Linked DNA regions of Lonchura striata. The protein of the gene in region 2 purifies or fractionates together with the protein of the main gene of each other region. This does not show direct contact. Links are inferred from orthologs where the notes say so. Each region holds a gene or a part of one and is shown on either strand. Other genes may lie near its edges. The genes, in order: AP1G1 and AP1M2.

Region 1 (14,788 bases), on a different chromosome or scaffold from region 2:
TTCTCACTTGTGTAACAAATAACACAGTTACATAGTCTAACCTGAAGGACTAAGAGCAACTGTATCTCACACGCATACTTTGTGCCTGATGAGAACAGAAAAATTCAGAACTGCTCTGATGGAGGATTACAAAAGGACAAAAGACAGAGCTGTAATTTATTTTCCAGTATTCAGAAAAGGCATTTCTAGCCTTGTGCTGAAACTACATCCTTTTTTTAGTCAATATCAAATCATTCAGCTTTTACTATACCTTTGAATCCATCCCATACAAAAGATTTTGCACCCATCTATGTTCTCTTAATATCAAAAATTCTTGTGTCAGGTACCTGTTCTTTGCCTTCAGTGACTTTAACATTCTTCTGCATGCTAATATATTGGAAATCTCATCACAGTTTTGAGTTTCAGACTTTTCAAGTGTAAGCTGTAGCTACTACAGATGAGAAGAAACTTTGGACATGAGAATGCTTAAATTCAGAAACATTACAGAAGAGATTAACGTTTACCTAGTCTCAGCAATTCCTAAGCCTATTATAATGCAACAGATCTTTACTGCAACAATGGGAGGATAACTGTATCTTCTAGCAATAGCAGACAGTGGAGCTTCAGCTGGTGCCTAAGCGCTCCTTAGAACTTCCTCCTAAGTAGCAAATCTTGTTCTTCAAGATTAGTTAACATTTTTCACCGGTACAAACACATCCTTTTATTCTTTGCACATCAACATAAATGACAAGGCAGTTTGTAGACGTTGTTACCTATTTCCTCCTTCAGTTGAAAACAGGGGTTTCCTTCAGCCATTTCTTTGCTAACTACGAGCACCAAAAATCAGGGATAATTTCTGAATACTTGAAAGAGCCTACTAGTTAATATTTACAATATCTGGTAGTGTTGCACACAGAGTTTTTCAACCTTATAAGACCTCTTTCCCTCTTCTAATTTTGAAAGCCTTGCTCCTTAGAAGAACATACTATCAAGATCAAAACTTCTGAAAGAATCGGAGACTGAATTCAGATTAGCTCAGGTTGTATAGGTGGCCGGTGTTTAAGTTCCTTAGGACACAGAATTCCAGCTTCTTTCCTAAAATCCAGAGACTAGAAAAGGTGTCACCTCAGCGATCCTCATTCCTCTGCTGTTCAGGAATCCTTCCCATGAACTAATAAAAAGGCATTCTCTTTCTTTGTGTAACTCATCGCTACTATACAAAAGTGAAAAAAAACAAAACCGCAAAAATCTTTATGTATTAAACCATTTCATTTTCATTTACATTGTACTGATAAATCACTGTTTTCTCCTCTTTTATGGTCTGTTACTAGTAAAGCTTATTATGTTTGAAAGTTAAAGATTTTATTCAACAGGCCATTGTACCAAAAATATTTCAGTATAGAACTTTACTAGAAGTCTCTCTTAGAATACAATCACATTCAAATATAATAGGCCATCTTTTATATTTACAACACACACCTAATATTACCAAAACCCACCTTAAATCATCAAGTGCTTTAGTTAAGCTTTATTCCTCTATCAGGAATTGCAGAATAAAGACAAAGGATAGTCCTTAAACACTGAGTTGAGAAGATGTCCTCTGGAAACTATTCAGGAATGTTAGCTTATGCCTAAACTATCTAATGCGTTTCTAAGACAATAAAACTTTAAAAAATAACAATTGTTTTAAAACTTCATTAGGACAAATTATCAGACATCTAACATTTTAACATTCCATTATTATTTAGCCTTAAATTCCGGAAATGTTAAGACATAAAGGCCATCAAAATTAATGAAATTATTCACAGAAGAGATCTACTGTTTGGGGAAATGGTCTGAATTTTCAGTTGTGGTGATATACGCACCAAGTTACAGCTTTTCACGTAAATTGCATTTCTGAATTTGGTTCTGTCTAGAAAACACCCCAAGCCTGAAGCACTTCAAACACATCTAAAACACACAACTCCAGTTGCTCCACCCCAACAATGCATAAGTAATCACACTCCTCAAGCAACCCCAGCTTTTGGGAAGTTACACAACTAAAGCCAAACAGCCAAACTCCCAAATGAAATCAGCAGCAGAACTCCCCTACTTGCTGAGGTGCAACTGAATCCAGCCGAGTACACACAAGAGCAGAGGATCTGTCCAGACTCCATGAAAGGAGTAATTGCAGTGTTGACACCCAACACTGATGGCTTCAACTACACACTGCCATCAGTAGACTTCCCACTTCTATCAGACACTTAAAAAGAAAAATATGTTAGCAATAAAACCAGAAACATACTCTCCAAGTAGAGATGAGGGTGTCAACAAATGCAGAGATATTAGTATATGGTCTAGTATTAGCAATATTTATACAGATAACAGTAAATATTAAATTATTATAACTATTTATACAATAAACACCAAAGGAAGAAGCACCATCATCATTAAGAAGGGCAAAGGCAACACAAAGGAGTTGAGAGAAAGAGTAATCAACAACATAACATGCTAGCTAAGTGGGACAATCTCTTGTCAGGAAAAAGCTATTGAATGCAATAGAGAACTAGAAAGCAACATCAGAAAATCACAAAGCAATTAAGTCAGCAGGGGGCTTAAAAAATGCAGTCACATAAGAAAAGGCATTAGAGTTACACTTTGCTTTATGCAGAGACAGCTGGAGAAGAGCAGGGGAGGTCAAATAAGAAAAAAAGTATCCCAAAACAAGAGCTAAAAACAGTCCTGAAGAGATGGTCCCACTTCCAGTTACATTGAAAAAAAAAAAAACAAACCACCAACAAGGAATGCAGCACAACATTATTTAAAAAGCAAGGCTCAGTGCTACTCAAGAGTTGAGAGGAAGAGGAGAGGCAGGACAGAGGCTGAGGACATTGCACAGATCCCACCCAATCCCACTGCCAAACAACTACAGACCCCTTCCCACTCCCTGCTGACTGAGGCATGGCCCCAGAGCACAAGTCAGCACTTTAGATAAGGTATCCCATTCCTGCACAACTGTGCACATACACCAAACGCAGCAACTCCTGAGCTGCCTTCACACTGAGCTCCCAGTCAGTACAAACATTAACCTCAACAACTGCCAAAAAAGAAGAGAAATATCACCCTATTTTTTTAAGAAGGTAAAAAATGTAGGAAGAAGAATTAGCACAGCTATACAGCTGATCACCATGACAGATTCAAGAAGAATTCAAGATTTTCTGGCTTCTTCAATCACCACTGACCTACATTATCTTATCAACTGCTTCTAATTTCCCCTTAATTTAATCTGTGAACTACTCTGGCTATTTTACTTCCTGTTCACTTTCCTGCAGAGTTAAACTTTAAATAATAATAATTTTAAAAAGCCACTAGTTTGTCACAAAAACCCCTACACCCTTCTAGGTCCTTGCTAATGCCAGAGGAAAGACAAGATTTTTACATTAATTAATATGAACTTTACAACAGGCCACATAACTTCAGCTGTTCTCTAAAAAGTTCTAATCTTTTATTTCACTTGTAGCATTTCTGCCAAATAGCAGATACAGGCTGCACTAATACCTGTGATATCAGCAGATTCACTTGTACTCACATTACTGTAGCTCTGTTTTTTAAGTTACAGCCTGATCATACATTTACTTATTAACTCCAAAATGCTCCTCCAGTAAACTAATGCTCTTACCATAGCAGAACAGACCCTCTCCCCAAAGAACAGCTGAGTATCATCTAGGACAAATTAGCATCACCTGCATTCAGAAGAAATTGTTCTATCATTAAAAAATGTGATGAGATCACACAACCCATGGCCTGCAGTTCTACAGGGCCAGCTCACAAATACAAATATTCACTCTGGAGAGGCACAAGCAGCTTTACTGACTGCCATCACTTTTAGCAGCAGTAAAGATTTACACGAGCCCACACACTTGGAAAGCTGATGCTCCAAACCTGAACTGCGCTAACTAGGGTGGGCTCTGTGTGCCTGAGAACAGCCAGTTTGGACTCCTGTGCACTGTCCACAACCTTCTCACACCATGGCCTGACAGACTCACTAATCTCATGCACAGCGAGGCCACTGCAAAACGCACTACACCAACAATCAGAGCATTTCTGTTATCCCCTAATCTCTCACGGGACACTTCAAAGGTACTACACGATCTTTCCATCTCTACCGTGCCACTCTCAGAAAAACACATCAGCAGTCACAGGAACAGAAAAGAAAAACAACAAAAAAGGAAGAAAATGTTTTTTTTTTAATCATAAAGGGAGAAAATATGAAAGCTATCCTACACACTGGAAACACAAAAGCTGGATCCCCTCACAAAACAATAACCCAAGACTTACTTTTCCCTTCTCAAGAAACAGGAATTTTAATACCTTTCCTCTCCTTCTCCCAGCACAGTAGAATGGAAGGGTTCACACCAACCTCCTCAGAAAAAAACCCACAAAATCTCCTGCCTTCATTCAGCTCTTGAATACCCAACAAGTACTCAAGTTTTCAAATCCTGTGCCAAACACCAGAGAGCACACAAGTAAACAGATGAAAGAATCTGGCAACAAATGACAAGAATTTGATATACAAACAAACAAAGGAAAAAAATCCCAAGTGTAGTTTAGAGGAGAGGTAGCAGGGAAATGGGTACAAAAAGCTATTGTGCTCTACTACACAAAAAAACAACAGGGAAACAAAACAGCACAAATTTCTCTGCCATTTTAAATGTAGGATGCTAGGAGCATCCCTAAAAGATTCCCCTGCATTTACAGGGGAAAACACACTATATTTTACTGTTTAAGCCACTATGGACCAAACACCTTTTGGCCACACATGTGACACTGTTAACCTTTCAAAGATCTTCCACTGGGATTCTGCACTGTCCCATTAATATTTCAAGCATCAGAAACTGAAATTTGTCGCTCAACATTTTTACACATCACTTTCAACACAATAAAACACACACCTGTTCCATCTGTTAACTTTAAAAACAGTGTCTACTATAAAATAAACTACAATTTATCTTATAGCTCGTGCGAGAGCTCAGCCAGCCTTGAAGAAGGGACTTGAAGGCGCCCTTAGAGACCGGCCATAGCAGCTCACTGCAAATACCTTGAGCCAGACCGAAAATCTCCTGCTTCCATTAAAACCCATAACCGGGAAGTAATGCAGACGCTGCAATATTCGGAGCGCTTGTGCAGCCTAGGCAATCATATAGCGAGGGGAAGGCCGAGCACAAGTCCCGACTTCTGCCAGGACGGCAGCGGGCCACAGCACGAACCGCTCTTGAGGTACGCGCTACTGCTGCCGCTGCCCGACCTCCGGGCACGGGGGCCGAGGCAGGGCTGCACCGCCGTCTCTCCGGCAAAGAATGGCTAGGGCACGCACGGACCGCTCCCACACCCGAGCAGGAGGCCCCGGGGCGCAGGGGAGAGTTGGAAGCGGGCCGGAGCGCCAGGCAGAGACAGCGGCGCCGACAGAGGCGGCGGGAGGGCAGGGGGCGGCCTCGCGGACAGAGCAGCCGAGGCCCAGCGGCGGAGCTCGGGGCGGAGAGAGGCCCCAGGACTCGCAGGCCCCAGGCGGCGAGACCCGGAGGTCAGGGGAAGCCCGGCGGGGCAGCAAAGACCCGAGCCGGTCCCACTCACCAGGCCGGTCCCTGCAGCGGTGGCGGCGGATAGAGCCGGGCATTCAAAATGGCGGCGGCGCGGCCGCAGCACCGATACCGCAGGCGGAGGGATCCAGGCCGACTCGCTCCCCGCGACTCCGCAGGCTCTGCCGACCGCGGGTGCGAGCGCGGCCGCGCCGAGTTCGGCGGGAACGGGGCGGGGATGGCGAGAGTGTGGTACAGTAGAGGCGGTGGCGGGACCGAAAATACCGCTTGCACTACTTTTCTTGGCGGAAGCACCCGTGAGGTCTTATACGAAAACTTGCGTCTGCACCGTGGCATTCCCTGATGACGTCATGCGCGGGGCGGTCCCGGCACGCGCGCTCCCCATGCCGGGGCCGGGCGGGACCCGCCGCCCGTGTCCGCGGTTCCGGGATCGAGGGGTTCCGAGGGGCCAAGCCGCTCCCAGTTCGCCGAACCTTGCACTGTTGAAACGTCCAGCGGCGGCGGGGTGAACGCAGGGCGCCGCAGGAAACGAGGCAGCTCTGGAAGGGGATACAGAGCCACCCCCGCCCCAGGCAGCTATTCTGTTCCCGCTTCCAGGACCTTATGCCACATTAACGATTATCGAATGACGAGTAGCTGCCCCCGCGGAGCCCGGTCGGCAGCACGGGGCCAGCTGGACACTGCGGGGGTGCGAGACAGGGCACGGGCACGTTCAGACCGAAGGCTCCTGCAGGGGAGCCGGGCCACGCTGCCGCTGGGCCCTCGCTGCCAGCCAACCGCGGAGCGATCCGGTCCGGGGCGCGGGGCCAACAACAGCCGCGCGGCGCTGCCGCCAGGCGCCTGCGCTGGGGCCGGGCGGGCGCGGCTCGCGGGTCGAGCTCAGCTCCGGGCGGACGCGGCTGGTTGCCACGGCAACGGCGCTGCGCGTGCCCCGGGACGCCATCCGGCGCGGCGGAGCCACGCCTACCGAGCAGTTCCGGCGTTCGGCGTGCGCGTCATTGCCATGAGACGCGTCATCGCCGTGCGCCACGGGCGGGGAGGAGCCGGTCCGGGCGCCGGGCGGGCCCGCGGGGCCGGTCCAGGCCATGGCGGGTGAGCCACGGGCACCGGGCGGGCACCGGGCGGGAACCGGGCGAGCCCGCGGGGCCGGTCCAGGCCATGGCGGGTGAGCCGCGGGTACCGGGCGGGCACCGGGCGAGCCCGCGGGGCCGGTCCGGGCCATGGCGGGTGAGCCGCGGGCACCGGGCGAGCACCAGGCGGGCCCGCAGGACGCTACGGGGCGGGGTGCGCGGTAGCGCGGCCGCGGTTTTGGGGCCGGGGTTGGGGGCGGCGACCGGGCTCGGGCGTCTTCCGTCCTCGCGTCCCGCACCGGGGCCAGCGGCCGTCGCCGTGGCCGTTCCCGGGGCCGGGGTTCGGGCCACCTCCCCTTCCCGAGGCCTGGACTCACGGCTCCCTCTGTTCCCGGCACAGGTGAGGCGGCGGCCGGCGGCGCGGATCCCGGAGCCCGCGCGTGGCAACCCCAGTGGGTGCCCCCATGAACGAGCGGCGCGGCCGGGGCTGCCGGGACACCGCAGGGCGCCATGAGAGCGGGCCAGGAGCGCAGCCAGGAGTGTCTCCCGCCCAAGAAGCGAGAACTTGCCGCCGCCAACACTGGCACCGAGGCGGGACGGGCCGGGGGAGCCCAGGGCTCGGGCTCGGGCCCCGAGTGGGCTCGCACGGCTCGCCCGGCTCCCGCCACACCGCGCTACGGTCCCGGCGAGGCCCCCGAGGCAGCAGCGGGGCTGACGGTGGACCAATACGGGATGCTCTACAAAGTGGCAGCACCGCCTGCCACCTTCTCCCCCACGGGCCTGCACCCCGTGGTGAACGTGAGCCCCCTGCCCCCAGCCTTCAGCGTGACCTCGCCCATCATCCAGCACCCGGCGGTGCCCTTCCCCTCCATCCACTATGCACAGATCCCTTCGGCTTCCCTGCAGCTCATTGGTTCCCCCTACACAGTGCCCTATGCCGTCCCTCCTGCCTTCATGCCTAGTCCTCTCCTGTCTCCTTCCACAAACCTCAGTGCCCCCCATGTCCCCCACTTTGTTCCATATGCCTCCCTGTTCACAGAAGAAGCTGCTCCTTCCTCCCAGACTACCTCTCCTACCCACAGCTTCAACAAATCCACCTCTGCAGCCTCTCCTGGGCAGATGCAGCACCACACTGCGTCCCAACCAGTGGACATGCCACCGGGGAGGATTCCTGTTTATTATCAGATGTCCCGCCTCCCACCAGGCTATTCAGCCTATGAGGCACCTGTAGCAGGTGGGAACCCAGACTCTCCTCAGCAAGACAGTCAGCTGAGCTCAGAGGTGGCTGCGGCCAATGGTGGGCAGAGGCCCCTGGAGCAAAGTGTGGCCAGGAGGCCCAACGAGGCTGTGGACTCTGCCAGCAGTGCAGCTGAGGACTGTCTGCCCCCAGGGGCTGCAGCAGGATCTATGGGTGATGGACAGTTCCTTCCAGGTCACCAGATGCTGGGAAGAGAGATCTCTGTGCCTACTCACAGGAGCACCCCAGACGCTGATCTGGAGGTTCAGAGAGTGGTGGGGGTGTTGGCATCTCAGGATTATCATGTTCTGGCAGCCCAGAGGAAAGATGACCCAAGCCCTTTAAATCTTTGCCATAATACCACTGATGGGCAGGGAGACATGCTGAGGAACACCACAGATAGGGCTGCAGCTGGGAACAGCCAGTCCCAGAGCCCATGTGGAATGTCCCCCGAAGAGACTGCTAGACAGAGACAGTTAGCCAAAGGAATGGTGATAGCCAATGGCAAGCCAGTACTTGTTCCCGTTGGATCTGAGCCCGTCAGGTCTTCCACTTCAGAAGTCCTGCTGAGGGAAAGCCCAGATGCACAGGCTCGAGGATATGTGCTTGAAAAGGAGCTGGCCCAGTTGCAGCCACCCAGTTCCTCACAACTGCCCTCTCACTTCATGAAAGGAGCCATCATCCAGCTGGCGACGGGAGAGCTGAAGCGGGTGGAGGACCTGCAGACTCAAGACTTTGTTCGCAGTGCGGAGGTGAGTGGAGGCCTGAAGATCGACTCCAGCACTGTGGTGGATATTCAGGAAAGCCAGTGGCCTGGGCTTGTCACACTGCATTTTGTGGTTGGGGAGCAACAAAGTAAAGTGAGCATTGATGTGCCCCCGGAGCATCCCTTCTTTGTGTATGGCCAGGGCTGGTCCTCCTGCAGCCCCGGGAGGACTGCTCAGCTCTTTGCTTTACCCTGTCACAGGCTGCAAGTGGGGGATGTATGCATATCAATCAGTTTACAGAGCATGAATGGCAACTCTGCTTCTCAGGCCAACTCCCCTCTCATGGATCAGCTGGTATCTGCTAGGGAGAGATTGGAACGAACAGCCCAGGGGCCCAGAGAGCCATGTGACAGAGCTGGTGAAAGGAAGAGCCACACAGATAGAACCAGCACGGCTCAGAGCTCCCATGCAGAATCTTCTCAGTCTGAGGCTGGCAATCTGTACAGTTTGGCCCCAGGCTTCCAAAGATACAGCGTGCAGGCAGAGGAGCCTCGGCCCTCTCTGCTCCGTCCCTCTTTCATTCCCCAGGAGGTCAAGCTGTCTATTGAAGGGCGTTCGAATGCAGGGAAATGATCCCTTAGAGGTGTGAGCTAGGGCAGCCACAGCAAGCGAGCCTCACCATCAGGTAGAGGAATTGCACAGACTGTCAGAGGCTCACCAACAAAGGCTGCTTTCTGCCTTGCAGGAATAGCTCCATTCCAGTTCCATGGCTGACCAGTTGCTCCTGGGGAGTCAGGAGGCCTTCAGTGCCTCAGGGAGCAGCGACAGGCTAGCTGGGGTGGGGAGCAGGGATGTGGTCATGAGTGTGTGATGAGAGCATTCCACAGGCTGCTGGAGGCTGGGGCTTTCTCCCACTTCCTGGGATAACTGACTCCCTGCGGGGCAGGGGCTGAGCATTTGGGGCAGGTAGGGAGATGAGGAGGGCAGACTTGTCTTAAGGTAGCAGATAAAATTGCTGAAGATTTTATTTCTCCTTTCTCATGATGGGGAGATATGGGTCCCCCCTGGAGTTTGGGGGCTCTACTCCCAGCATCCCCTTTCTTCACACATGCACTTTAAAAGGACCGTTCACCGATGGAGCTCTCAAGGGCAGGATGGAGGTGCTTCTCTGGTGGTTCTGATTAATGTCTCTTCCACTGAATCCAACTACTCTTTCTTCTTGCAAAGAATGTACAGATTTGAATGAATCACATAAATTCAAGAGGAAGGACCAAAAGGATGGGCTTGGGTGCAGGTGAATAGGGAACTTGAGCACTTGAGATGGGACACAAGTTGGGATGGGAGACATTGTTTCCTGCTGTAAACTCTACTTAGTTGTTTTGCCACCAAATCAAATCTTTCTTCCTATGTTAATAACTTCCAAAAAACCCTCCTGGGCTTATAGCTTTTGCAGAGGTTAACCGAGGGATGAATGGGGTTGGATTTTTTTGTTTGGTCAAATTTTGATTTTGGATATTTTATTGGTTTGGTTTGTTTTTTTTTTTTTTTTTTTTTTTTTAATCTGGAGCAAAATACATTCAACATTCTCTAGAGAAGGTTGAAAACATCCTTCTTCTGTGAGAAGACCAATGCTATTTTGTTATTAAGTCAGAAAAATGTTCCAGATGGCTAGTTCTTCCCTGCAGGCAGTTTCTTGAATAAGCTCTATACAAGAGACGAAGTGTTTGTGCACATGCAGACAAGGTACAAAATTTGTGCTAAGTACAATTCTATGATTAATGTACGGACTCTAGAAATATCATAGTGTCACAGGGCATTTTGGGGTCATTTTGTGTTAGTTTTTCTGATGCTTCACTTCAGAGTTCCTCTGTAGAACAATGTAATCAAATCAAGAGTAGTTTTTTTCATGGTGAAATTTAATACAGTTGTGTATGAACAGCTGATTGTGGTGGTAACACTCTATTGAGTGAAGGCTCCTGTAGTTACACTAATTTGCCCTCTCTGATGGTGTTATGACACCATTGCTCAGCTAGGATAAAGAATAGTCACTGTTCTGGTAAGAAAATGGTTTTCACTGACTTAACCTGGGTTGAGTATTCCTTGTGTTGAGGTGCCCATCTCTGTGCTAGGACCAGGCTTTGGAGGGGGCTTTCTTAGTACGCAGAGTCCTGATGTTCAGCATGCTGTTCCTATCTCCCTGCTCTCATCTGCCTGAAATTTGTCAAGTGTGCCTGACTCTTGGGGTGCCACTCCTCTCTGTCACAGAATGGTGTGTGTCAGCACCTCCCCTTGCAGTGGTGCTGTCTCAGGGCTGTTCTGCACTCCCCAGGAGTGTGTCCTGTAACTGGTTTGCTTCTGCTGACTGTGCAATGGATGCATCTGTGTATTAGGCAAGTTAGTCTTCAGAATGTCCCTTCCATCCCGGCCTCAGTCCTGTTTTCTTAGCATATTACTAGCCATTTCTGCTGCCTTTAAAATGCCTGCACCAGGACAGGCCTTAGGTGAGATATGTGCTAATTATGCCCTCAGTGTTTGTGCCTCACAGGGTTCTCTGGAATGAGGATGCTGTCCCAAATGACACACTACTTCTGGTTTCATCAGCTGCATTTGGGATGTCACAGTGATGCTGTTGTGTGAAGATTCTGCCTCCTCAGGTGCAGGACCTATAGGAAACTATGCTGTTTTCACAACCCTGTGAAAGTTTCACAACCCCAGTGAAGTCTCCACCTGGGCCCCATCATCACCTGGGGGTGTCACAGCTCCTGCTGACTGGGACTCTCCTATGTAAAACTCCATTAATGTTAGTAATTAGTACTTAATATTCAGGATATCTGAGGTGTCCATGGCCAAAGGCAGGAGGCAGAGGAGCCTGGGTTCTCATGCCTGTTCTATGGACAGTGCATGCAGAAGGATTCAGGGCTTCAACAGGCACTTGAGAAAGGGATCTCGCATACATAGGGCTTGTGAATGTAGAAGGGCTGGTTACACCATAGAGGCAGTGTCTGAGCAACTGGTAGTGCAGAGCCCCTTGACTATCTCTGAACCCCGAAGTTTGTCTTAGAGTAAGGGTTTGGAGAGCTTGCCTTAACACCATGTGTGTTACTGTAACTCCTCAATCTCAGCTGCACTGTGCAGTAGTCTGAATGGGCAGTATTGACAAATGAGGCAAGATGCTGTGTGACTTAAATAGCTTTGTGCTGTAGGCACGTGAAGAACTGTGAAGGTGCTTGCCCTGTTGTCTACCTGGCTGCTGATCTGGACTCTGGCTTGCTGCACCTCTGTTGGGTGCAGTCCTGAGCTCTGTGGAACAAGCCGTGGTGAACTAGACCTTGGTGCTTTTATCCAGACTCCTGTCAGTCCTGCTGCTGTGTTTCGGCTGCCAGCTCTTCCCTGGAAGCAGTGGTTTGAAGCACAGCTCATGACAGGGGACTGAGATTAAGAATCTGTGTGTCTGGCTGTTTGCCCCAAAGGGTGGACAGGAGGGGGCCACTGACAACTCTCCAGCCAAGCTCAGCAGTACTGGTATCACAGGAACCTGTTCTTACTGGACAGGGCTGTATGGCTGAGCACCATAGTGGTGGTTGTGCTGAGCACTGAGGCTCTCCTGGGACAGGCAATATGTGGGACAGGGAGTATGTGAGACAGGCTCTGCTGCAGTGAGAAAGGCTGTGAATGAACGATGGAGGAGGCTTTTATTTCTCGGGTTTACAGGGAGAGGAGATAAAGCCAGGAAGACACTGCAGAGTAGGATGGTTACCTGGGCTTTTCTGCTGGTAGAGATGTGACAGACTTCTCAGAGAAATATACCACGTTCCTGCTGCTATTGTCTAGGGTAGGAGAGCTGTGGTCCTGCCTGGAGGAGGCCCTAATCTTATCCAGCTCATGCTCTGTAGCAGGAATCCATGGGATGCAATAGTGGGTGTCTGTAGCCATCTGTCCCATCCCATGGAACATGCCTCAGGTTAGCTGCACAGCAGAGCAAGGCCTGTCTCTGGGCTGTGCATTCACAGCAATGAGCGCTCATCACTACCAGACTATGCAGAGGAAGCTCTGTCTGGAAGGGAAGGAAGCTGCAGAGGTCCCTCTGCCTTCTCCTTCCAGCTGCTGAGCAGCTTTTTATATTGCACTTTTCACGTTGTGTCCCTGTCCCCACCCCACACTTCAAGTCACTTTGTCCTATAGAGAACTAACAATCCTTGTTACTCAGAAAATATTGTAAAAGAAACTACAGCAGCTGGAGTAGCCCAAATGCTAGTTCCTGCCTGCAGCAGCATACGTGCCTTCCCCAGCATCACTCACAACTGCTCCCTATCTTTCAAGCTGTGCTAGAGCCTGACACTTGTCAGAAGCTGCTAAGATAGCTACAAATATACATCCTGTAGAGTTTGGCCCAGGGTGTTCCACATACAGTTTAAAACGCTGATGGTCCAGGCCGTCCCATGGCCTTCACACTGTCAAGGACAGAATTGCCCCATAGGTCCTGGGCTGCTGCCACCCACCCTGCCAACACACCCCTGGCACACTCGAGTTGTTTTTGGCTTTCATGGCACCTTAGCACCAGGGAGGGTGTGCTCAGAGAGAGAGAGAAACATGGGGGAGCTGGCTGGGCTGCCCTGAGGCAGAGAGATGTTTGTAGATAAGTGCTGACCCCTCACTATATCCCCCAGTATATGGCTGTATTAACATGTAACCGATGCAGTGTATCTAAAGCCTTAGAACTAGTCAGGTGCTCCCCTCCAACTTTGTCCCTGCCCCTTTCCTCCTACCTGATCTTTAACAAAGCATTAATAATTCTAAGGATAATCTCTATTTTGTTGTGCTTTTTTTGTAACTGTTTTAAATAAATCAATTTGTACTGTATATTTGTACTTTGGTGAGATCCTTTTTCCTGTTTTACCATTTTAAGTCTGTACTTGCCTACAAACAAATTGTATTTTTATTGTTAATGCTTTTATGAATATTGCATTTAACTTGTTGACTCTGTAAACACAGTATATATCTATATACATATATATATATCTATATATAAACCAATAGCTTTTCCTTTGGTGTTTGAGACTTTTTGCTTGTGTGCAGTATCAGTGGTCATTAGCATGTGGCTTCTCTGGATTTACACAGTGATCTGGAGACTCATGTCAAAGGCAAGATACAGGGTGGAAGATGGATTATAAGTCATAATTCTGTGTTTTCAGATACTTTTGTGTTATGTGGTCTCTCCTGAACCCCTTGGAATAAAGATAAGGTGTCAGTGACAATACAAGGAAAGTTCCAGCTGCAGGTTGGAGAGTAAAGGTACATCCGTGCTGGGAGAGCAAAAACATGAGGCAGAGCAAAAGCAGATACTGCCAGAAGCAACCTGGGGGTTTGAGTATCAAATGAACACAAGTGAAGATAAAAGGGAGAGATCACAGAACAAAAGAGGATATGAACAAAGGAACATGGACCTGAACAGCTCCTTTACAGTGCCTTTTCCCAAAGAGGAGAAGCAGGGATAGCTCCTGGGTATCAGCTCTACATGATGAATGAACATAATATTAAAACAGCTTCAATACAGGGAAGAAGCTTGATATTGCAGTGGCAGGAGGAGAAAACTTTCGCTGAAAAGCTTCAATGCTGTTTCATCCCTTGGGATGCCTCTGAGAGTGGTTCTTTATTGCACAGAAAAGTGCAACATTATGCATTTTGAAGTTAACTTTTTAAACTAGGGCTTTAAGGGACTGCAATCAAATTTTTTTCAAACTGAAAAGTGAGGAGGAAATGAGGGTTTTAAGGAGTCTGATCAAAAGGTTTTGCTTCTTGTTTTAACTTAAACTCTTCTGATCTCAAGCAGCAGTCTTGTTGTCATCATTTCTGACTTAAAGAGAAACAGCCATCAGAGAGAACACAGTACTTCCCAAGGTGTTTGAACCACTGTATGACTCTAGACATAAACTGGAAATACTATGGCGCTAATAGGGGTTTTCAGGCTACAAAACAAAGAAGCGTGGCATACTGGCCTTTGTGGGCTGATGTCTCAAAACCACGAAGCTAACACCATGCATTTTCAGGTGCTCACTCTTAAAGAAGCCAAATAATGGAGGGTGTACCACTTCTTTGCGCTGCCACGAGTCCTTCTGTGCCACTGCTTTGCCTTTTGCAGTTTAAAGATGCCTAGATATAATTTCCATAGTCGCATAGTTTTAATAGTGATTTCTATTAGCAACGGGAACCTTTTCCTGT
Region 2 (14,732 bases):
TGGTGGAACTTCACATCCTCCAGCTCCACCGACTTGTTGGTCCCCCCTGGCAGGAGGCGGGGAGGGGGCTCAGGAGGGATTTTTTGGGGGGCTGAGACCCCCAGCCCCCCCGGCACTCACGGCCCGTCAGCTCGAAGAGGACGCGGTCGTTGAGGCCCAGACGCAGCTCCGGCATTCCCGAGAGGAAAACCTTCAGCCTGATGGTGCCCAGCACCTCGCTCAGCACCACGCTGCCGCTGGCGCTCACCTGCGGGCACGGCGCGGCGCGGGCTGGGAGCTGGCACGGGCTGGCACGGCCTGAGACCCCTCCGTTTGCCACGCCAATCCTCATTCCCATCCCAATCCCCATCCCCTTCCCACCCCAATCCTCATTTCCACCCCAATCTTCCTCCCTATCCCACCCTAATCCTCATCCCCACCCCAATTCCCATTCCTTTCCCATCCCAATCTTCATTCCCATCCCAATTCCCATTCCTTTCCCATCCCAATCTTCATTCCCACCCCAATCTCTGTCCCTTTCCCATCCCAATCTTCATTCCCACCCCAATTCCCATTCCTTTCCCATCCCAATCCTCATTCCCACCCCAATCTCTGTCCCTTTCCCATCCCAATCTTCATTCCCACCCCAATTCCCATTCCAATTCCCATTCCTTTCCCATCCCAATCCTCATTCCCATCCCAATTCCCATTCCTTTCCCATCCCAATCCTCATTCCCACCCCAATTCCCATTCCTTTCCCATCCCAATCCTCATTCCCACCCCAATCTTCCTCCCTATCCCACCCTAATCCTCATCCCCACCCCAATTCCCATTCCTTTCCCATCCCAATCCTCATTCCCACCCCAATTCCCATTCCTTTTCCATCCCAATCCTCATTCCCACCCCAGTCTTGCTCCCTATTCCACCCCAATCCTCATTCCCACCCCAAACCTCATTCCCACCCCAATCCCCCTCCCTATCCCACCCCAATCCCCATTCTTTTCCCACCCCAATCCTTGTTCCCACCCCAATTCACATCCCCTTCCCATCCCAATCCACATTCTCATCCTAATCCTCATTCCCACCCCAATCCTCATCTCTTTCCCACCCCAATCCTCATTTCCACCCCAATCCTCATTCCCACCCCAATTTTGCTCCCTATCCCACCCCAATCCTCATTCCCACCCCAATTCCCATTCCTTTCCCACCCAATCTTCATTCCCACCCCAATCCCTATCCCCTTCCCATTCCAATCCTCATTCCCACCCCAATTTTGCTCCCTTTCCCCCCCCCATATCCCCAGTCCCCCCAGTACCCCCAATACCCCCAGTACCCCCAGTCCTCCCAGTTCCCCCCAGTACCCCCAGTACCCTCAGTGCCCCCCATGCCCCCAGTCCCCCCAGTTCCCCCAGTTCCCCCAGTCCCCCCAGTTCCCCCAGTTCCCCCAGTCCCCCCAGTTCCCCCAGTTCCCCCAGTCCCCCCAGTCCTCCCAGTACCCCCGGTGCCCCTCACCAGCAGGTTGACGGCCTCCACCACATCGACGAACACCTCGTTCTTCTTGTGTCCCCAGTCCCCCCAGTCCCCCCAGTTCCCCCAGTCCCCCCAGTCCCCCCAGTTCCCCCAGTACCCCCCGTGCCCCTCACCAGCAGGTTGACGGCCTCCACCACGTCGATGAACACCTCGTTCTTCTTGTGCCCCCAGTCCCCCCAGTTCCCCCAGTTCCCCCAGTACCCCCGGTGCCCCCGTGCCCCTCACCAGCAGGTTGACGGCCTCCACCACGTCGATGAACACCTCGTTCTTCTTGTGGCAGATGCCCTCGGAGCGCCAGGACACGGCGTTGGTCACCGTGCTGGGCACGCGCCCCCCGCCCGCCTCCAGCCGCTTCCCCTCCTGCGTGATGTACCTGGGGAGGGGGCGGTGGGGAGGGGGATTGGGGTGGGAAAAGATGGGGAATGGGATAGGGATGGAGATTGGGGTGGGAAGGGGATGGAGATTGGGGTGGGAACGAGGATTGGGGTGAAAATGAGGATGGGGATGGTGGGGAAAGGGATGGGGATTGGGATAGGGATGGAGATTGGGGTGGGAATGAGGATTGGGGTGGGAATGAGGGTTGGGGTGGGAAGGGGATGGGGATTGAGGTGGAAAAGGGGATGGATATTGGGGTGGGAAAGAGGATTAAAGTGGAAATGAGGATGGGGATGGCAGGGAAAGGGATGGGGATTGGGAAAGGGATGGGGATTGGGATAGGGATGGAGATTGGGGTGGGAAGGGGATGGAGATTGGGGTGGGAATGAGGATTGGGGTGAAAATGAGGATGGGGATGGCGGGGAAAGGGATGGGGATTGGGATAGGGATGGAGATGGGGATTGTGATTGGAAGGGGATGGATATTGGGGTGGGAATGAGGATTGGGGTGGGAATGAGGATTGGGGTGGGAAAGGAGGGTTGGGGTGGGAACAGGGATGGATATTGGGGTGGGAACAGGCAGTGGGGTGGGAATGGGATAGGGATTGGGGTGGAAAAGGGAATTGGGGTGGGAAGGGGATGGGGATTGGGGTGGGAACGGGCAGTGGGGTGGGAAGGGGATGGGGATTCGGGTGGGAACGAGGATTGGGGTGGGAATGAGGATTGGGCTGGGAAGGGGATGGAGATTGGGGTGGGAAAGGAATAGGAATTGGGGTGGGAACGGGCAGCGGGGTGGGAAGGGGATGAGGATTGGGGTGGGAATGAGGATTGGGGTGGGAATGAGGATTGGGGTGGGAAAGGAATGGGAATTGGGGTGGGAAGGGGCAGCGGGGTGGGAAGGGGATGAGGATTGGGGTGGGAAGGAGGATTGGGGTGGGAAAGGGATGGGGATTGGGGTGGGAATGAGGATTGGGGTGGGAACGAGGATTGGGGTGCGATAGGGATGGGAATTGGGGTGGGAATGAGGATTGGGATGGGAACGAGGATTGGGGTGGGATAGGGATGGGAATTGGGGTGGGAATGAGGATTGGGATGGGAACGAGGATTGGGGTGGGATAGGGATGGGAATTGGGGTGGGAAGGGGATGGAGATTGGGGTGGGAACGAGGATTGGGGTGGGAAGGGGATGGGAATTGGGGTGGGAACAAGGATTGGGGTGGGAAGGGGATGGGAATTGGGGTGGGAACGAGGATTGGGGTGGGAAGGGGATGGGAATTGGGGTGGGAACAAGGATTGGGGTGGGAAGGGGATGGGAATTGGGGTGGGAACAAGGATTGGGGTGGGAAGGGGATGGGAATTGGGGTGGGAACGAGGATTGGGGTGGGATAGGGATGGAGATTGGGGTGGGATAGGGATGGGAATTGGGGTGGGAACGAGGATTGGGGTGGGAAAGGGATGGGAATTGGGGTGGGAAGGGGCAGCGGGGTGGGAAGGGGATCCCGTGGCCCCCTCCCCACGCTCACTCCTGCAGGATCTTGCTGTCCGTGGTCTGCGGGAAGCCGAAGTCCATCAGCTCGTCCAGCAGCTCGTAGACGATGACGAAGTTGTCGCGGACGCTCTCCTCCTCCAGCTCCTTGAAGTACTCGCAGAACACCTTGGGGAGGGGGTCCCAGCACCCCGGGGTGCGGGGAAAACCCTAAATTAGGGTGGTCCTCACCCCCAGACCCACCCGAGACCCCTCCCCAGCTCACCTCCACCACCTTGTAGAGGAAGGAGAAGACCAAGGAGGCGTTGCCGTTCTTCTTGGTGGTGGCCACCACTGAGGTGGGCTTAAGGAAAAACCCGAGGCTGGGGAGGGGTCCCGGGGTGATTTTGGGGAGGGGGTCCCGGAAGGATACGGTAGAGGTTGGCGTGTTTGATCCACAGGAAGTGGAGGTGGCCGCAGGGGAGGACGGGCGTCAGCGTCCCCTCCTCCTCGCGCTGCTGCAGGACCCCCAGGAAGTTCTCGATGTCCCCCAGCCCCACGTCCCCCTTGTAGCTGCGGCTGATCAGCGGCTGCGGGGCGGCCGGGGGGTCAGAAATGGGGACCCCCACCCCAATTTCCCCTCTCCCCAAGTTGCTCGGCACGCCTCGGGGTCGGGGGGGGGGTCACGGTCACTGAGAAGGGCAGAGGGGGCAGTGGGGAGACCCCAGCCCCAACAGAGGGGAGACCCCCACCCCAAGTAGGGTTTGGGGTGGTCGTGGGGGTGTGGGGAGGGGTCACAGTGGAGAAACCCCCTCCCCAAAATCCCCAAAATCCACGGGGTCACGGGGGGGTCACCACCACTGACCTTGGCTGACCTTCAGGGACAGAGGGGACAGTGGGGAGACCCCCACCCCAAGTAGGGTGGTCGTGGTGGGTGTGGGGAGGGGGTCACAGGTGGAGAAACCCCCTCCCCAAAATCCACGGGGTCACGGGGGGGGTCACCACCACTGACCTTGGCTGACCTTTAGGGACAGAGGGGACCCCAGTGGGGAGACCCCCAGCCCCAACAGAGGGGAGACCCCCACCCACATTAGGGTTTGGGGTGGTCGTGGGGGTGTGGGGAGGGGGTCACAGTGGAGAAACCCCCTCCCCAAAATCCCCAAAATCCACGGGGTCACGGGGGGGTCACCACCACTGACCTTGGCTGACCTTTAGGGACAGAGAGGACAGTGGGGAGACCCCCACCCCAAGTAGGGTGGTCGTGGTGGGTGTGGGGAGGGGGTCACACGTGGAGAAACCCCCTCCCCAAAATCCACGGGGTCACGGGGGGGGGGTCACCACCACTGACCTTGGCTGACCTTTAGGGACAGAGGGGACCCCAGTGGGGAGACCCCCAGCCCGGGCAGAGGGGAGACCCCCACCCACGTTAGGGTTTGGGGTGGTCGTGGCGGTGTGGGGAGGGGGTCACAGTGGAGAAACCCCCTCCCCAAAATCCCCAAAATCCACGGGGTCATGGGGGGGTCACCACCACTGACCTTGGCTGACCTTCAGGGACAGAGGGGACAGTGGGGAGACCCCCACCCCAAGTAGGGTGGTCGTGGTGGGTGTGGGGAGGGGGTCACAGGTGGAGAAACCCCCTCCCCAAAATCCACGGGGTCACGGGGGGGGTCACCACCACTGACCTTGGCTGACCTTTAGGGACAGAGGGGACCCCAGTGGGGAGACCCCCAGCCCCAACAGAGGGGAGACCCCCACCCACATTAGGGTTTGGGGTGGTCGTGGGGGTGTGGGGAGGGGGTCACAGTGGAGAAACCCCCTCCCCAAAATCCCCAAAATCCACGGGGTCACGGGGGGGTCACCACCACTGACCTTGGCTGACCTTTAGGGACAGAGAGGACAGTGGGGAGACCCCCACCCCAAGTAGGGTGGTCGTGGTGGGTGTGGGGAGGGGGTCACACGTGGAGAAACCCCCTCCCCAAAATCCACGGGGTCACGGGGGGGGGGTCACCACCACTGACCTTGGCTGACCTTTAGGGACAGAGGGGACCCCAGTGGGGAGACCCCCAGCCCGGGCAGAGGGGAGACCCCCACCCACGTTAGGGTTTGGGGTGGTCGTGGCGGTGTGGGGAGGGGGTCACAGTGGAGAAACCCCCTCCCCAAAATCCCCAAAATCCACGGGGTCATGGGGGGGTCACCACCACTGACCTTGGCTGACCTTCAGGGACAGAGGGGACAGTGGGGAGACCCCCACCCCAAGTAGGGTGGTCGTGGTGGGTGTGGGGAGGGGGTCACAGTGGAGAAACCCCCTCCCCAAAATCCACGGGGTCACAGGGGGGGTCACCACCACTGACCTTGGCTGACCTTTAGGGACAGAGGGGACCCCAGTGGGGAGACCCCCAGACCCAACAGAGGGGAGACCCCCACCCACGGTAGGGTTTGGGGTGGTCGTGGTGGGTGTGGGGAGGGGGTCACAGGTGGAGAAACCCCCTCCCCAAAATCCACGGGGTCACGGCCACTGATAAGGACAGAGGGTACCCCAGTGGGGAGACCCCCAGCCCCAACAGAGGGGAGACCCCCACCCACGTTAGGGTTTGGGGTGGTCGTGGTGAGTGTGGGGAGGGGGTCACAGTGGAGAAACCCCCTCCCCAAAATCCACCACTGACCTCAGCTGACCTTTAGGGACAGAGGGGACAGCGGGGCGACCCCCGGCGGGTTTTGGGGGTCTGTCGGGGGGTCTCACCTTCCCCTTGAGGTCCAGGATGAAGAGGGCGGAGGCGGCCATGGCTCCCGCGCCGTCACCTCCGGCACCGTCACCTGCCCAGGTGCGCGGCCGCGCCTTAAAGGGGACGGCCCCGCCCCTCTCCCCACACCGGGGGTCTCACCCCCTCCCCTGCTGGGGGGAGACCCCCCAACCTCGCCCACTCCACGGCCACCCCCAGCCCCACCCCTCCGTTTTGGGGTGGGGGGCGTGGGGTGACACCCAAAGGTGGGTTTGGGACCCCCGCGTGCCCCACGGTGGGGAGGGGGTCTCTGCGCCCCCAAAATTTCCTTTTTTGGGGGGGGGGGGGGTGTCCCCGCAGCTTCTGATGGCTGGATTCCCCACCCTGGGGGTCGCTGCAGCCCCCCCAGACCCCCTGTGCCCCCCACCCATGAGGGGTCTCCATCAGACCCCCCACCTTGGGTGGTCCCTGCACCCCCAGACCCCCCCCCCACGGGTGACCCCCACGGGAGGGGGATCGCTGCACCCCCACATCCTCCCCTCCGGGGTGGGGGTCTCCATGCCGACATCCCCCACTCTGCGTGACCCCCCCAAAAGCCCCCAGACCCCCCAATTCCCTTCGGGCACCTTCCAATTCCCGCACCCCCCCCCCCGCATCCTCCGGTCCCACCGGAGCCCCGGGAGGGGCGGGACGGGCCCGGGCCCGGCCCCGGGGGCGGATCGGTGCTGAGGGCCGGGCCCGGAGCCGCCCCGCCCGCAGGCACAGCCCGGGGGTACCGGGGATACCGGGGATACCGGGGGGGCTCCGGTGCTACCGGAGGAGCCGCCCAGAGCCGCCATGGACCGGCCCGCGGGCAGGAGGGACCCGGACGGCGATTACGGTACCGAGCATCCGCCCCGCGCCCCGCCCGGGGGTCCCCCCGAACCCCCGGGGTTGGGACCCCCGGCTTCGGGACCCCCATTTTGGGGAATCCCCGTTTTGGGGAACCCAGTTTTGGGGACCCCCCCCCCTTGGGGACCCCCGTTTTGGGGACCCCCATTTTGGTGACCCCATTTTGGGGACCCCCGTTTTGGGGACCCCCATTTTGGTGACCCCATTTTGGGGACCCCCGTTTTGGGGACCCCCATTTTGGTGACCCCATTTTGGGGACCCCCGTTTTGGGGACCCCCATTTTGGTGACCCCCGCGTTTGGAGACCCCGTTTTGGAACCCCCATTTTGGGGACCCCCGGATTTGGGGACCCCCACCCTTGGAGACCCCCACGTTTGGAGACCCCCATTTTGGGGACCCCCGCGTTTGGGGACCCCGTTTTGGAACCCCCATTTTGGCGACCCCATTTTGGTGACCCCCATTTCGTGACCCCCATTTCAGGACCCCCATTTCGGGACCCCCATTTCGTGACCCCCATTTCGGGTCCCCCATTTCAGGACCCCCATTTCGTGACCCCCATTTCGTGACCCCCATTTCGGGACCCCCATTTGGAGACCCCAATTCGTGACCCCCAATTCGTGACCCCCATTTCGGGACCCCCATTTCGAGACCCCCATTTCAGGACCCCCATTTCGTGACCCCCATTTCAGGACCCCCATTTCGTGACCCCCATTTCGTGACCCCCATTTCAGGACCCCCATTTCGTGTCCCCCATTTCAGGACCCCCAATTCGTGACCCCCATTTTGGTGACCCCCATTTCAGGACCCCCATTTCGTGACCCCCATTTCGTGTCCCCCATTTCGTGACCCCCATTTCAGGACCCCCATTTCGTGACCCCCATTTCGTGACCCCCATTTCGTGACCCCCATTTCGTGACCCCCATTTTGTGACCCCCATTTTGGTGACCCCCATTTCGTGACCCCCATTTCGTGTCCCCCATTTCGTGACCCCCATTTCAGGACCCCATTTCGGGTCCCCCATTTCGTGACCCCATTTCAGGACCCCCATTTCGTGTCCCCCATTTCAGGACCCCCATTTCAGGACCCCCATTTCGTGACTCCCATTTCGTGACCCCCATTTCAGGACCCCCATTTCAGGACCCCCATTTCGTGACCCCCATTTTGGGGGGCTCGGGCTCCCGGGCGGGGTCCCGGCGGTGTCCCCGGTGCCCGCTCCGGTACCGGAGGGAGGGAGGGGACCCGGGAGGCAGCCCCGGGCCCCTCCCCGCGGGCACCGGAGCCCCCCGAGCGGCGGGACCCCCCGTTTTTCCCGGCCCGCTCTTTGTTCCCGGTGCTGACATCACCGGCGGCCGCTCCCGGTGATTTATTTACCGCACGAGAACCGGGGCGGGGCTGGAACCGGCGTCACGGCGGCGGGGAGCCGGCACCGCCCGCCGCCCTTTTCCCGGCACCGACCGGACACTCCCCGCCCGGTACCGGCCTCCGGACCGGGTCTGGCGGGGCCGGACCGCGCCCCGGAGCTTCCCGGTACCGGGACCGGAGCTCCTCTGTTTGCCCCGGTGGCTGAATTCCCGGTAACCCCGGGACCGGAGCTCCTCGGTTTGCCCCGGTGCCAGAATTCCCCGGTAACCCCGGAGATTCCCGGGACCGGAGCTCCTCTGTTTGCTCCCGTGTCTGAATCCCCCGGTAACCCCGGAGCTTCCCGGTACCGGGACCGGAGCTCCTCGCTTTGCCCCGGTGCCTGAATCTCCCGGTAACCCCGGTACCGGAGCTCCTCGCTTTGCCCCGGTGCCAGAATCCCCCGGTAACCCCGGAGATTCCCGGTACCGGAGCTCCTCTGTTTGCTCCCGTGTCTGAATCCCCCGGTAACCCCGGAGCTTCCCGGTACCGGGACCGGAGCTCCTCGCTTTGCCCCAGTGTCTGAATTCCCGGTAACCCCGGTACCGGAGCTCCTCGCTTTGCCCCGGTGTGTGAATTCTCGGTAACCCCGGGACCGGAGCTCTCCCCGCTGCCCCCCGGTGCCGGTGCCCGCTCCTCCGCGCTCTCCCCGGTGCACCGGGGCTCCGCCGCTCCCGGGGCGGGGCTTGGCTCCCGTTCGTGCCCCGGAGGGCGGATTTTGGGGCGGGGTCGCCTGAGCCCTGCCCAGCCCGGTGCGAACGGGAACGGGAACGGGAACGGGTCCGGGATGGGGGGACACGGGGACAACTACTACGGCAAACACGGTAACGGCGGCGGGGGCGGCGGATTTTGGGGGGGTCGGAACGGCGACCGGAGCTCGGGGGAATTTTTTGGGGGGTCGGGGGGCTCCGTTCGGGGCTCCCGGTGGGTCCGGGGGGTTTTTTTGGGGGGTTACCGGCGGTTTTGGGGCGTTCCTACGGGCGGGCGGCGGGAGGAGAGAAACGGAAAGGCGGAAAAACGAACCGAAACCGGGCGGAAAACCGGGAGATAAAAAGCGAAAGTAAAATCGGCCGCGCCCCCCCCCCCCCGCGGTTTTTTGGGGGGCCCGCGGTTGGTTTTTTGGGGGTTTTTTGGGGGATTTTGGGGTGAAGCTCCCCGGTAACCGCAGGACCGGCCCGGCAGCCGCGGCCGGGATAAAAACCGGCTCCGGCGGTTCCGCGGCGTCACCGGGAGCGGCGGCCCCGGGGCTGGCCCGGGATCGGTTCCGGGGGTTCGGGGGGTTCGGAGAGGGGAGAGCGGCCCCCCGGAAAACGGAGCCCCCCCAAAAATATCCCAAAGAAAATGGGGCCCCAAAAATATCCCGAAGGAAACGAACCCCCAAAAATATCCCAAAGGAAACAAACCCCAAAAATATCCCGAAGAAAACGAACCCCCAAAAATATCCCAAAGGAAACGGGGCCCCAAAAATATCCCAAAGTAAACGAGACCCCAAAAATATCCCAAAGGAAACGAGACCCCAAAAATATCCCAAAACAAACGAGCCCCAAAAATATCCCGAAGAAAATGAACCCCCAAAAATATCCCAAAGGAAACGAACCCCCAAAAATATCCCGAAGAAAATGAACCCCCAAAAATATCCCAAAACAAACGAGACCCCAAAAATATCCCGAAGAAAATGAGACCCCAAAAATATCCCGAAGAAAATGGGGCCCCAAAAATATCCCGAAGAAAATGAGACCCCAAAAATATCCCGAAGAAAACGAACCCCCAAAAATATCCCAAAGGAAACGGGGCCCCAAAAATATCCCAAAGTAAACGAGACCCCAAAAATATCCCAAAGGAAACGAGACCCCAAAAATATCCCAAAACAAACGAGCCCCAAAAATATCCCGAAGAAAATGAACCCCCAAAAATATCCCAAAGGAAACGAACCCCCAAAAATATCCCGAAGAAAATGAACCCCCAAAAATATCCCAAAACAAACGAGACCCCAAAAATATCCCGAAGAAAATGAGACCCCAAAAATATCCCGAAGAAAATGGGGCCCCAAAAATATCCCGAAGAAAATGAGACCCCAAAAATATCCCGAAGAAAATGAACCCCAAAAATATCCCAAAGTAAATGAGACCCCAAAAATATCCCAAAACAAACGAACCCCAAAAATATCCCAAAGAAAATGAGACCCCAAAAATATCCCGAAGCAAACGAACCCCAAAAATATCCCAAAGGAAACGGGGCCCCAAAAATATCCCAAAACAAACGAGACCCCAAAAATATCCCAAAGAAAACGAGACCCCAAAAATATCCCAAAGGAAACGAGACCCCAAAAATATCCCGAAGAAAATGAACCCTCAAAAATATCCCAAAGAAAATGGGGCCCCAAAAATATCCCAAAGGAAACGGGGCCCCAAAAATATCCCAAATTAAATGAGACCCCAAAAATATCCCAAAGGAAACGAACCCTCAAAAATATCCCAAAGGAAATGAGACCCCCAAAAATATCCCAAAGGAAACGAACCCTCAAAAATATCCCAAAGTAAATGAGACCCAAAAAATATCCCAAAACAAACGAGACCCCAAAAATATCCCAAAACAAACGAACCCCAAAAATATCCCGAAGAAAATGAACCCCCAAAAATATCCCAAAACAAACGAGCCCCAAAAATATCCCAAAGAAAATGGGGCCCCAAAAATATCCCAAAGAAAATGAACCCCCAAAAATATCCCAAAACAAAGGAGACCCCAAAAATATCCCAAAGGAAACGAGACCCCAAAAATATCCCGAAGTAAATGAACCCTCCCAAAAATATCCCAAAGCAAATGATCCCCCCCAAAAATATCCCCGGCATTTGGGGTGTTTCTGGTGGGATTTGGGGTGTTTTCGTAGGATTTGGGGTTTTTCCCTGGGATTTGGGGTGTTCACTGGGATTTGGGGTTTTTCCCTGGGATTTGGGTTTTTTCCATGGGATTTGGGGTGCTTCCATGGGATTTGGGGTATTTCTGTGGGATTTGGGTTTTTTCCGTGGGATTTGGGGTGTTTCTGTGGGATTTGGGGTGTTTCCATGGGATTTGGGGCTTTTAGATTGGATTGGGGGTTGGATTTGGGGTGTTTCCCTGGGATTTGGGGTGTTTCCCTGGGATTTGGGGTGTTTCCCTGGGATTTGGTGTTTTTCTGTGGCATTTGTGATTGGATTTGGGGTGTTTCTGGTGGGATTTGGGGTGTTTCCCTTGGATTCGGGGTGTTTCTGGTGGGATTTGGGGTTTTTCCCTTGGATTTGGGTTGTTTCTATGGGATTTGGGTTTTTTTCCGTGGGATTTGGGGTGTTTCCCTGGGATTTGGGGTGTTTCCCTGGGATTTGGGGTGTTTTCCTGGGATTTGGGGTTTTTTCTGTGGGATTTGGGGTGTTTCCCTGGGATTTGGGGTGTTTCCCTTGGATTTGGGGTGTTTCCATGGGATTTGGGGTTGGATTTGGGGTGTTTCCCTTGGATTTGGGCTTGGATTCGGGGTTTTTCCCTGGGATTTGGGGTGCTTACCTGGGATTTGGGGTTTTTCCATTGGATTTGGCGTTTTTCTGTGGGGTTTGGGGTGTTTCTGTGGGAGGAGGAGGAGGAGGAGGATGAGGACGACGGGGAGGATGAAGAGGAGGATGAGGATGTGGATGAGGAGGACGAGGAGGAGGAGGAGGATGAGGATGAGGAGGATGAGGAAGATGAGGATGAGGATGAGGAGGACGAGGAGGATGAGGATGAGGAGGATGAGGAGGACGAGGAGGATGAGGACGAGGAGGATGAGGATGAGGAAGATGAGGATGAGGAGGATGAGGAGGACGAGGAGGATGAGGATGAGGAGGACGAGGAGGATGAGGAGGACGAAGAGGATGAGGACGAGGAGGAGGACGAGGACGAGGAGGATGAGGAAGATGAGGACGAGGATGAGGAGGACGAGGAGGATGAGGATGAGGAGGATGAGGAGGACGAGGAGGATGAGGATGAGGAGGACGAGGAGGATGAGGAGGATGAGGAAGATGAGGATGAGGATGAGGATGAAGAGGAGGATGAGGAGGATGAGCAGAGCCTTCCTCCCGCCGCTGCCCTTCCCCACGGCCGCTCCTCTTCCTCCCCGCAGGAACGCCGCAGAAATACGACCCCACCTTCAAAGGGCCCATCTACGACAGGTGGGCAGAGCCCCCGTCCCCCCAATCCGGGGTCACCCCAAATCCGGGTCCCCCAATCCGGGGTCACCCCAAATCCGGGGTCACCCCAAATCCAGGTCTCCAAATCTGGGGATCCCCCAAATCCGGGGTCACCCCAAATCCGGGGTCCTCAAATCCGGGGTCACCCCAAATCCGGGTCCCCAAATCCGGGGTCACCCCAAATCCGGGGGCACCCCAAATCAGGGGTCACCCCAAATCCGGGGTCACCCCAAATCAGGGAATCCCCCAAATCCGGGGTCACCCCAAATCCAGGGTCACCCAAATCCGGGTCCCCAAATCCGGGTCCCCAAATCCGGGTCCCCAAATCGAGGGTCCTCCCCAAATCCTGGGTTCCCAAATCCTGGGTCCCCAAACCGAGGGTCCCCAAATTGAGGGTCCCCAAATCCAGAGTCCCCAAATCCTGGGTCCTCCCCAAATCCTGGGTCCTCCCCAAATTAAGGGTCCCCAAATTAAGGGTCCTCAAATCCAGGGTCCCCAAAGCGAGGGTCCCCAAATCCAGGATCCCCAATTAGGGTCCCCAAATCCTGGGTCCCAAACCGAGGTTCCCCAGATCAGATTCCCCAAACCGAGGGTCCCCAAATCCAGGGTCCCCAAATCCAGGGTCCCCAAATTAGGGTCCCCAAATCCTGGGTCCCCAACCGAGGGTCCCCAACTGAGGGTCCCCAAACCGAGGGTCCCAAACCAAGGGTCCCCAAATCAAATTCCCCAAACCGAGGGTCCCCAAATCAGATTCCCCAACTGAGGGTCCCCAAATCGAGGATCCCCAAATCCAGGATCCCCAAATCAAATTCCCCAAATCAAATTCCCCAAACCGAGGGTCCCCAAATCCAGGATCCCCAAATCCTGGGTTCCCAAATCGAGGGTCCCAAACCGAGGGTCCCCAAATCCAGGATCCCCAAATCCAGGATCCCCAAATCAAATTCCCCAAACCAAGGTTCCCCAAATCGAGGGTCCCAAATCGAGGGTCCCCAAATCAGATTCCCCAAATCAGATTCCCCAAACCGAGGGTCCCCAAACCGAGGGTCCCCAAATCCAGGATCCCCAAATCCAGGGTCCCCAAATCAAATTCCCCAAACCGAGGGTCCCAAACCGAGGGTCCCAAACCGAGGATCCCCAAATCCAGGTTCCCCAAACCGAGGGTCCTAAACCGAGGGTCCCCAAATCCAGGATCCCCAAATCCAGGGTCCCCAAACCGAGGGTCCCAAACCGAGGGTCCCCAACCAAGGGTCCCCAACTGAGGGTCCCCAACCGAGGGTCCCCAAATCAAATTCCCCAAACCGAGGGTCCCCAAACTGAGGATCCCCAAATCCAGGTTCCCCAAACCGAGGGTCCCAAATCCAGGTTCCCCAAACCGAGGGTCCCCAAACCGAGGGTCCCCAACCAAGGGTCCCAAACCGAGGGTCCCCAACCAAGGGTCCCCAACTGAGGGTCCCCAACCGAAGGTCCCCAAATCCTGGGTCCCCAACCGAGGGTCCCCCCTTGCTGTCCCCGCCGCAGGGGCTGCACCGACGTCGTCTGCTGCGTCCTGCTGCTGGTGGCCATCGTGGCCTACGTGGTGGTCGGCGTCGTGGGTAGGTCCTGGGGGTCTCCGGAGGGGTCTGGGGGCTGCAGAGGTTGGGGTGGGGGTGGGTGGGTGGGGGGGTTGGGGTGGGTGGGGGGTGGTCTTGACCCCGGCCTCACCCTCCTGCGCCCCCCAGCCTGGACCCACGGAGACCCCCGCAAGGTGATCCACCCCACGGACAGCCGCGGGCAGTTCTGCGGGCAGCAGGGGACCCCCAACGAGTGAGAGCCGGACCCCTCCCCAAAAAAGGAAAAAAATAAAATTATTCCTCGCGGTTTTCCCCCAAAAACCGGGCGGTTTCGGTTCGTTTCGCAGGAACAAACCGTTCCTTTTTTACTTCGACATCGTCAAGTGCGCCAGCCCGATGGTGCTGCTGGAGTTCCAGTGCCCCACCACGCAGGTACGGCCCAGCGGCGTTCCCAAAATTCCCCAAATTCCCCAAATTCCCCAAAATTCCCCAGAATTCCCCACGGAATTCGGGTCTGCAGCCCTCCCGGATTGTGGCGTTCCCCAAATTCCCCACGAAATTTCCCATGGAATTCGGGCCTGCAGCCCACCCAAACCACGGCGAATTCCCCATGGAATTCGGGTCTGCGGCCCCC

Evidence for each region.
Region 1: the proteins of AP1M2 (region 2) and AP1G1 purify together in Homo sapiens (affinity purification with mass spectrometry; 4 studies listed by BioGRID and IntAct, counting the BioPlex papers as one, with this or other methods). This does not show direct contact. The link is inferred for Lonchura striata from reciprocal best matches to the Homo sapiens genes AP1M2 and AP1G1.

What each region holds. Positions count from the first base shown.
Region 1 is NC_134615.1:23,776,294-23,791,081, reverse strand, and holds the start of AP1G1 (AP-1 complex subunit gamma-1), read right to left. Parts: upstream 5,703-14,788; 5' UTR 5,590-5,702; intron 1-5,589. Other genes in the region: ATXN1L (ataxin-1-like), read left to right, coding at 7,136-9,202. UniProt on the Homo sapiens protein: Subunit of clathrin-associated adaptor protein complex 1 that plays a role in protein sorting in the late-Golgi/trans-Golgi network (TGN) and/or endosomes.
Region 2 is NC_134623.1:1,060,370-1,075,101, forward strand, and holds the start of AP1M2 (AP-1 complex subunit mu-2), read right to left. Parts: upstream 6,185-14,732; 5' UTR 6,130-6,184; coding exon 6,088-6,129; intron 3,938-6,087; coding exon 3,781-3,937; intron 3,702-3,780; coding exon 3,634-3,701; intron 3,537-3,633; coding exon 3,406-3,536; intron 1,883-3,405; coding exon 1,735-1,882; intron 248-1,734; coding exon 121-247; intron 47-120; coding exon 1-46. Other genes in the region: SLC44A2 (choline transporter-like protein 2), read left to right, coding at 9,143-9,179, 12,482-12,530, 14,067-14,140, 14,267-14,351, 14,446-14,530. UniProt on the Homo sapiens protein: Subunit of clathrin-associated adaptor protein complex 1 that plays a role in protein sorting in the trans-Golgi network (TGN) and endosomes.